Drosophila melanogaster: one gene and its partner. The protein of the gene in region 2 interacts with the protein of the main gene of each other region in a pairwise test. Each region holds a gene or a part of one and is shown on either strand. Other genes may lie near its edges. The genes, in order: Zip88E and CG31522.

Region 1 (4,460 bases), about 11 Mb from region 2:
GCGGCGAAGGAGGAGCTATAATTACTAGATTTATTTATGTTCTAAGTTTGGCGATTCAACGCAGGTCAGCAGATAAACGCACCTGAGCTCGGCGCGAATTTTCGGTTTCTATTGTAAATTAAATTGTTAATGAAGATCAAGGTGAATGATAAGATATGCATATGCACTGGTTTAAGTGTATAAGATCTAATCTACTCATCTCACGTAATTGTAAATCCCCTCCCATCCCAAGTATGTTGCCCTGCTAGCATGAAAATCGTAAATCTAAGAGGAGTTCCCCAAATGACCTTAAATGAGAGATCAGAGACCAAACAACCCAACATTTAGCTATTTATGAGTGTCCGTTTCTTCACACATACACCACCAATAGAGCAACCAAGCAACATTTCACGATTAGGTAAACACTATATATATATATACACATATGCCTATTTACATACATATAGAGATGTAGTTACATAGATGTTGTTTTAATTCGTTTAAAACAGTGACATGATGTCCCCAGAAAGTAATAAAATGATTGCGTTTAATGGTTGGCTAAGTAAGATTAATCAAAAGGAAAAGAGGATGCCCTTTTTTTGATTAACAACTTAATTGTAAGGTTTATTACATATAATAAAAGCATAAAAAATAACACAAACTTTGGAGAAAGAGAAAATATAAATGTAGACGAGAAGACTGAACTTTTTACTTATCCTACGGCAGATCGACAATGTACCTAAAACAAGATTAGTTGGAAATGCACAAGTAACAAGTCTTACACAAGAGATTAACAGCTGCCAATCCATAATATTATCCTAAGTGTTCTAAGTTTAAAAAGCGGCACATTTTCTCACAGCGCTGAAACGATTTCTCAACGAAAAGATGTCTAATCCTCATCTGAAAAGGCGCGAAGAAAATAGGTCAGCAATGTCGAAAGGGAAATGCAAATCACATAATGCTACGCACCAGAAAGATAAAAGTTTATGATGCACATGGTCGCAAAGCCGGCGAGCACAGTTGCAAACTGTGCAAATCCCGCCCAGCGTCGCGTTGAGTTCGAGTGCCAGCGCGCCTTCTCGCGCGGTATCACCTCGCAGACGGTGACGTAGAAGAGTGTGCCTCCGGCCAGAGCTTGGACGATAGGCAGAGTTTTGCTGGACCAAGCGGCGGGCACGTCCACGATAAGCATGCCCAGGCCAATGCCAATGACGGCGCCCAGGGCAAACACCGAAATGCCGACGAACTGGGCGCGAAAACTCGTCTGCGGATTCGAGCGGAACTCGAGCCCCAGACAAAAGCCCATCACGAACTTGTGGCAGGCGACGGCCCCTAGAAGAAACAGAACCTACGACGAGACAAAGCAGATTCCGGTTATCTAATTGGACTAAGCCCTCGCATCTCTTTGCTTCAATATTTGCCTAAGATTGCGCACTATAGCCGATCTAGTCTAACTATGTCAAGGCAGGCGGCACAGACCTTTGTGGAAGAGTTCTGAACGCCGATGGCGAGTCCTTCGATGGCCGAGTGCAGTGACAGGGCGACAAAGAGACCCAGAGTGCCTGTCATGGATTGGGCGCAGGGTTCCGTGTGGCTGGTGTGGCAGATGCGGGCGTTGGCGTCCTCTACACTGGCATCATTACAGCCAGATGCGCTGGCCGGGTGATTGTGGTCATGATCGCTGCGTAATCGAAGCACAAAGCAATTAGTTTTGGCTGCGGGAAGGGAAATGCAATAAACCTACTGGCTATGATGGTGCGAATGCCCATGTGACGTATTGGGTTCCGCTGATAAAAGGGGCGCTCGTTCGTCCACTGCGCCATAACCATTGTCATTAGTGGGACGTCTTGGTGGCTCGGTTGCTGGAGTCTCTGCATCGTGGGCATGAGTGTGCTGAATGGCCTCGCCAAAGAAGTAGTGTATGAACTCGTCGATAAAGTAGATGATGAAGAACCCGCCGCACATGGCAACCTCAGCGAATTTCGAGTCCATTTGTTCGCGCACCTGTTGCATGCGTAAGTCAGCAGGTTATCAAATTGCAGCCACACACACGATCGCAGTCCAAGCTCTTACCTCGGGCAGAATGTGCACCAGTGCGGTGGCTAGCAGAATGCCCGCTCCGAAGCACAGGAGCAGGGATGCGGTCAGCGGGAAGCGGCGACGATTCCGTTCCGATATAAAGGCGGGCAGCAATCCGAACAAAAGACTCCCGAGTCCGAGGACCAGCATAGCCAGCACTTTTTCCAAGTCGCCGCGACTCGTGGCAGCCAGGGTGGGGCTTGGGGTGATCTCCATGTTTAGACCGTCGGTTGGCAAGCTCATTGTATCAACTGCCAGACTGTGTCATCAAGAAGGGGGCCAGTAAAACACACAAAAGTTCGTTGCATTTACTATTTTTAAACTAAACAGTTGCGAAGTGTGTGCAGCTGCTTTCGTGCGAAATACCAAAACGCCTTACAATGGGGGGGCCACAGAAAAGTAAGGCATTTCAGCAGTGCGCCTTTCAGATCACACTCATTTAAACGGTTTTTTTTTTTTTTAATTTTATTTAAACATTTAAATCTAGAACTATTCTTTTACCAACCACCACCATTAAGAATTTCAATAAAAGAAGGTAGGCACCCTCTCCAATTATAGTTTTGCACTTCGACAAATGCTCCTGTAGTTAAAATTCAAAATTTTACCGTTTCCGTCCTGGTTGTCCGTTGGAAAATGCATCGTCGTTGTATAATCTGTGGCCAGGAGCCGGGCGAGCAGTGCGTCTACCCGCGCAACATGTCGGAGGCTCGCCGGTGGCAGAACTTGGCCAACCTCAGCAGTTTTGACGTCGACCCCGAATCGCTATGCCGGCACGGATGCGTTTGCGCCTCCCATTTGGATGGCCACGGATCAGGTTCGGAATCGGAGAGCTCGTCTCGTGCTGCTGGCAGGGCAAGGACTCAAGCTGGCCTGCAGGAATGGAGCAGGTGGAGCTCTTCGGCATCGGACGCTGGCCATGGCTATTCCATCAGCAAAAAGACTAACGAGCGGATCCAGAACCAAAGCAAACAGAGTCTCGGCTCGGAGAGGCAGGAATTCAGCAGCGCGAACAGATGTACGAATGGTTGCTGTCGTTTTCGAAACACCTGCAACAGCATGTTCCAGGGCAATACATACACCCAAATGGGACAGAAGTATCCCAATCCACAAACAAGGGCCACAAACTTAGAGAACAAAAATAATCCACCTATGAAATTAAGCCCAAGGGTAAATAAACCGACCTTTGGAGCTGTAAACTGCACCTGTGATGGATGCACCTGTAGTTTCTGTCCAGTGCAAGGGATCAAAAAAGCGGTAGCCCCTCTAGAAGAGGATTCAGGCAGCCAACAAAGTATAAATAAAGAGTATAAAGAAAGAAAGGATAATTCCAAAGGCAGCCCAAAAAAACAGAGTTCCTGTGAACGTCTCACTTGTCCAGCTTTCAGGACAACGGACATAAAAACTGTAGCAGATGATTTCCGCAGTAGCCCGAACTACCCGGTATCGCCAACTTCACGAGGTAACAACAAAATTAAAAGTTCGATGAACCAGCAGAATACGAAGAAAAAGCCGGAGCTGAAGAGCGAATGCTGCCAGACGTGCATCACCCAGCAATTGAAGGATCAGGAAGTGCAGTGCTCAACGGTGACGCTGCAGACTCAGAGCTCTTCGCCTGTTAGGCGAACCAAGATGACCGGCTCGTTCAGCCATCAAACTGGAAGCTCAGCGACAGGTTTATCTGGCGGATACACCAATAATTCGAATAACTTTACTTGTGGCGGCGGCGAGAGAAGAACTTCAAATGCAATCAACGTGCTGCTTATGAACGGCACCCGGAATAATGACTATGAAGATGGGTGCTGCTCTCCGGCGAAGCAACGTCCCATGGCGCCGCCTCCAGAGATTTGCGTTCAAGAGTCCGATCTGACCGAAAATGATGAGCGAGCTGTGTTCCCGGAAATCGACAAGCCCAATTACAGAGTTTGTCGATCCTCGAACGAGACCAATGTTCTGGTCCTGGAGGAGAGTCCTTTGAATGATTGCAGCCCCAACCCAGGGCAGGATGCGAGTACACTAGATAGCAAGACGAAGAGTAATTTTGATGCTCAACAAAACGCCAACGATAATAAAGAGCAACATAATAGTTTTCTAATCAACTGGCTTGAGTCCCCGGCCACGAGTAACTTCACCAAGGTTCTGGAACTGCAGAGATCTCGCATCAAGGAGCTGGAGAATCTGCTGGAGCAGCACAGCCTTCTGCAGCAGACAATCCAGCACAAGGTTGCGGAGCTGCAGTGCACAGATATACCGGATCCTAAAAATATATCTAAATCATAAACCAAATCTAGTGCGCATATCTCTGAATAAATTTTGTTGGTTTTCAAAGGGTGAAGAGTGTTTTATTCGCTATTACCGCTTGAATTCCAATACCAAACTTTCAGTTTGACCATCTAAATCAAGAG
Region 2 (5,075 bases):
GGATACATTTTTAAATTGTCTTCGGCTACCTTAGAAATTATCAAAACATAATAGAATTCCGGAAACAAAAAGAAAATAAAGCGTCGAAGATATGCTTTCTATCAAATACATTTCAAGTTCAGGTCTACCCTACAAGTATTGTGTATAATAATTAATTAGGAATTTATAAGGAATGTACCCTAGTCTCGAAAACCATAAGGAATACTTAACCATGGTATTGGACTTATATTTCTGAAACGGAAGTTTCTTATAACGATCAATTTGTGGTGTTCTTCTAAATGTTAGTCTTATTGGGCATATTGCAGCTCCTTTTCGTTTTGCTGTTCGCGCTTCGGCTCACTAATTAAGTCAATTTACTGACAAGCTATTTAACTAATTTCCCGGGGTTTCAAAGACTGCTGTTGTAAACTCTAGTTAGAGTAGAGTAAGTCTAGTTACGCTAGTTACTCCAGTTTGTCGAATCAAATCGGGGAAGTTGAAACTCAAAGCAGAACTAAGGTAATGCAAACCGAAGTGCAAGCTAGGTGATGTCTCAACTTGTTTTAGTGTCATGAACAAGTTGTGAGTATCTTCTGTCTAAAGTGCGGAGATGTGGCTGATAGTGTTGTTGCTTCTGGAATATTTTTAATGCCGTACACGTCGCAGACATAGGCGGACGAAATTCTGTTAATTGTTTTCATTAGTCACTGCAAAACGCTGTCTTCCAATTGACATTATAAGTAGGTACGTGTGCTTATCCCAAGTAAAGTCCCCTAACATCGCTGTGGATGGCAGTTTACGTAGTGACGATGAGAACCGAGAGTCTGATCAGAGCCATTTATGTATATCGTGATCGAATAATCTTTTGATGATTTAAATCTCTTGTTGAATGATGATTAGCTAGGAAGAAGGGGGAGCAATTCTAGTTATAATTCTTGTATTTATAAAACAAGATTTGAATGACATTTTCCAAAATGTGTTTGTCTGCAAAATTTGTTAAAAAAAAGTTTAACTAATTGCCATTTTAGGACTTGAGAAGTGTCATCGTCACTTTAATCCCACATATTTGGAGGTGTTTTTTATAAAGTTTATATACAAAATGTTCGTATTGTACAAACTGGATTGCTACCAGATTAAGATACGAAATCTTGCTTTAATCCAGGAATTGTACGGGTATTGTTATTGGCGCTTAACTGTAATGTAGTAATTGTTTAAAATATTCGAAAACTGCCCAAGACATTTTGGTATTCAAGCGGCGGCCTATCTATCGGTTAGTGGCTTTTATGGTCGGTAGAAGTATATATATGCATATATATGCATATGCATATATATATATATATAATGGGAGTCAGACAAAAGTGTATGCCCTTCTATTTTGTATTTATCAATACATTTAAACCGTTTGTAATGCATTCAATAGCAAACATAATAGCAAACAATAGTATACATATAAAGGTATACTTTCACGTAAATGTAAACGTTTACGGCTCTTTTCCTAACACTTGGCTTCCGCAAATCGCAGTTGTTAGCACGCCCCATTGCGCTATTCGATGTGGAAGCGAGATCCTCTTCTAGACAAACAAACTTTTGTGTTTAAATTATTTATAAGTAGAGAGTAAGCGGTGTGAGCCAGAGCTGCGGCCACGCCGGCGAGCGTTGAGCGATTTAATGTTTGGGTAAGTTTTGGCTGAGGCTTCTTGAGGCTTCTTGAGAGTCGGGCCTCAGATCTCGGATCTGCGATCTCAGGGGATTGGCGTGTAGCCTGTAAATTCGCTGGAAACGCGGCTACGTGCGTGGCATTTGAAGAACGGTGAGCGCGAAAAAAACCCAAATGGTTTGCATATGTAAATACGGAAAGCGAAATCCCAGCTTACTGTTTGAAAGTATTTGCCACCTTAGTGGCATCCGCCGAGGAGCGCCTGAGTGGCTCCAGTCCGGGTAAGAACAATGAGCAAGCCCTTCTGGGCGGTTCAATTTATGATGTCCAATTACAGCCAACGCGGAAGCGATCGTCGATCTGGAGCCATTCACTACCATTATCCCATTATCGATCAGTAAGTCACAAGACCTCGAAAGTCGGTCCCAGAAGCGGTTTTCGTTCGACCACCTCGCCTGACTGGGAAACACTCAAGGAAACTTTTTGCCACGATCAGGATGCCCTGCGACAAGTCCAAGGCCAAAATCGGGTCATTGCAGATCCGGTTTTGTGCGAATCGTTTCCGCACTTGTTTCGAGTTGCCTTGGATTACCATTTTGTATATTTTTAGTGCAAGAAAAACTCTGGCAATTATTCGCGAAGGGCGCACTAATTGCGCTTCTGCTACTTTGGACCCAATGTCAACGGTGAAAAGCTTTACGATGCTGGCTAATTCTTATGCATTATCTCGAGGGGTCAGCAAAACAAAACCTATCGGTATATTGGGAGTCAACAGTCCAGAAACCAGAACAGCTGCTCAAACAGCATACAAATCCGCCCAGCTGTTCGTGGTCTGCCGCTGCGCTGCCAGTCAGGCCAGGGCTAAATCCCGCCGGAATCCCGCCTGCGACCACACGTCGAGGATTCTCCAGAGGTCCTCAGCATCGGATCCTCGCTGGGAATCAAATGCCCCACGCAAGCTGATTTTGTGCAACCGCCAAATGGCAGGGTTGCCACACCATTGGAAACACCGGATCGAACAGCCCGATTGGCCAGTCAAATCGATTAGCTCGGACGATCTGCGCCTTATAGCCGGGCAGATTGGCCAGAGCGGGGAGGTGTTTTGGCGTGGAGAGCGCCGTCCAAAATGCTTATTGTGAACGGACCAAGCGCCGCGCAGTTGCAAAAGAGCGAAAAACAAAAATCACATGTGCGAACAACTTACAGCTTACCACTTGCAAACAGCTCGAAATCCGCAACGGAAGGCGGCCAGCAGCAGCTCGGTTGGTAAATCGCTGGCAACCGAAATCTGAAAACTAAAAACTGCAAAAACCACAACACACAAATTGCGCGGCCCGAACTATTTCACAAAGTGTTGCCAAAGAACTTTGTAAAATGATTACTTTCGCAATAGCTTTTGGCTCTTGGCTTTCGGCTTTCGCACACGGGATCGGTGACTGCGTCTGCGATTAGCGCGCGCTTGACTTCTGAATGAAAACTGAGCCGCGATCGCGCCGCGCGGCTAATTAAACGCGGATCGCGCGACGCCGACGAAGCGGAGGCGCAGGCGCAACCGCGAGCGCCAGCGCAGGGAAGAACGCCACTGGCAGCGCAGCGGCTGCGGTGGAAACGTTACGGTCAGCGGCAAGCACCGACCGAGTGCAGTGCGAAAACTTTCCGCCGCCGAGCGTCAAGTGCAGTGCACGAAGATGGCAAATGGCCTGATTGGCTCTTGGCTATTCCCGGACACCGGGAATGATGCGACTCGATTCAGATCCGGAGATCCCGAACCCAAGACCCAAATCTGAACCCGAACCTTGTTTTTTTTTGTCTGATGTCAGCGGCGCAGGCAAGGTTCAAGTGTGGCTACCGTCGCAATAGCAATCGCACACTGCCAGCGAGTAAATATTACATGGAGTGAACTTCCGAACAGCCCCGATACCTGGCCTTTCACAGCGTTAAATCATCCATGTTAATTACGAGGCGTACGATTCCTGCCCGTGTAGGTGATCTGGCTTATAATCATGGATACGCACAGATATACGGCCTTATTCGAAACTTTGGGCCAACCGTATGACCAACAATTAAGAATTGCTTGGAACATGATGAAAGAGTTTTCGCAAAATATGGGGTGACTTAAGATTTATTGTCTAATTATCCTACAATTATATGTTCCAAATCGATAGTATTTAAGAAAATAGGGGTTTTATTTTTATAGCGGTCGTTACTCGCAGCTTTTGCCTGAATTAATAGTTTTTTTCCAACAGTTTTTTTAATTCTCCAAAGTTCATTCCTTGTAAACGAAATTCGGATACTTGGTAGTAATAATACAATTGATAATTGGTCAGGGTTCAGTGTTTGGTCACAACGCATCAAAGGGCGCGTGCCAAAGTGAGCTGGGAAATAGTTATTATTATCTAACGCTAACACTAGCCTGAAGTGCCGATAGTCTCCGTCGCAGCTCCAGCTCCAAATACGCCGGTGCATTATGATGCATTAAGTTATGTCAACTTGGCTAACATCGCGCCCTGTCCGGCTGATGCGGCAAGAGTCGAGAGCCGACAAGGTCAAGAGGGGCTTAAATATTAGCCTGTACAGCCCAGCTGTCGCCGCCTGTTAGCGGATTTGTTTGCCAAAAATTAGTACGCGTCTATTAAGTACTGGCCCATTTGTACATTAAGTCAGTGGCAATCTGTATTGTTATTTGATTTTTTCGATTGTTTGGTACGTTTCTGCACTTTTGCACAGCCGAGCGTTCAACGATCATCGTAAAAAAAAAAACAAGAGAGATCTTGACGTTTATACGGTCTATTGGTCCTGATGAAGTAATATGTTCTTTATCGAGTCAGAAAAGAACATAAACTGCCTACCTATAGTCTACCCTTTGACTCTACGGGTAATGGGTATTACATTTTAATCTGTTGTTTGAGACAAAACAATTGTGAAAAGCAAATAATCATTTGCAAACGCGTTTTTAATGACATGTAGCACAAATTATGGGCTTAGGTAAAGTATTTCAAAAAATGCTTTTTAAGGGACGAACAAGACGCCCAAAAGGTTCCAATTTAATTTTAACATATGTTTGGTAGTGGGGCTCAGCCAAATTTTTTTTTACTTTTCTCAAAGTCTTGGTATGTAATCGCTTGATCTTTTACGCTAAGATCGGACTACCATAACCGCTTTAAATTTCTTTCTTTTCAACGAATCTACATATATACCCTTTAATTCTGAAAATGACGTCATAGTACTGCAGACGCAAATAAGCTACAGGTGCAAGGCTAACTTCCTTTCTCGTTGCGGTTTAAGTTATAAACGTCGCAAGGAGTTCTTAAATTAAAGTTAAAACTTAGCAACGACGTAGTTCAAAGGACTTTTCTTGTGGAGGGAGACACTAAATATATCCTATAATATAGTGTTATTGGTTTAATAAATATAATATAGTTTTATTTGGAATATTCAT

Evidence for each region.
Region 1: the proteins of CG31522 (region 2) and Zip88E interact in a two-hybrid assay, tested with the Drosophila melanogaster proteins (one large-scale study listed by BioGRID).

The regions. Positions count from the first base shown.
Region 1 is NT_033777.3:15,266,604-15,271,063, reverse strand, and holds Zip88E (Zinc/iron regulated transporter-related protein 88E), read right to left. Parts: upstream 2,403-4,460; 5' UTR 2,302-2,402; coding exon 2,053-2,301; intron 1,984-2,052; coding exon 1,724-1,983; intron 1,661-1,723; coding exon 1,459-1,660; intron 1,328-1,458; coding exon 949-1,327; intron 880-948; coding exon 869-879; 3' UTR 532-868; downstream 1-531. Other genes in the region: Cp190 (centrosomal protein 190kD), read left to right, coding at 1-21; CG14864 (uncharacterized protein), read left to right, coding at 2,692-4,335.
Region 2 is NT_033777.3:4,459,780-4,464,854, forward strand, and holds the start of CG31522 (uncharacterized protein), read right to left. Parts: upstream 3,105-5,075; 5' UTR 2,848-3,104; exon of another isoform or gene 2,841-2,847; intron 1-2,840.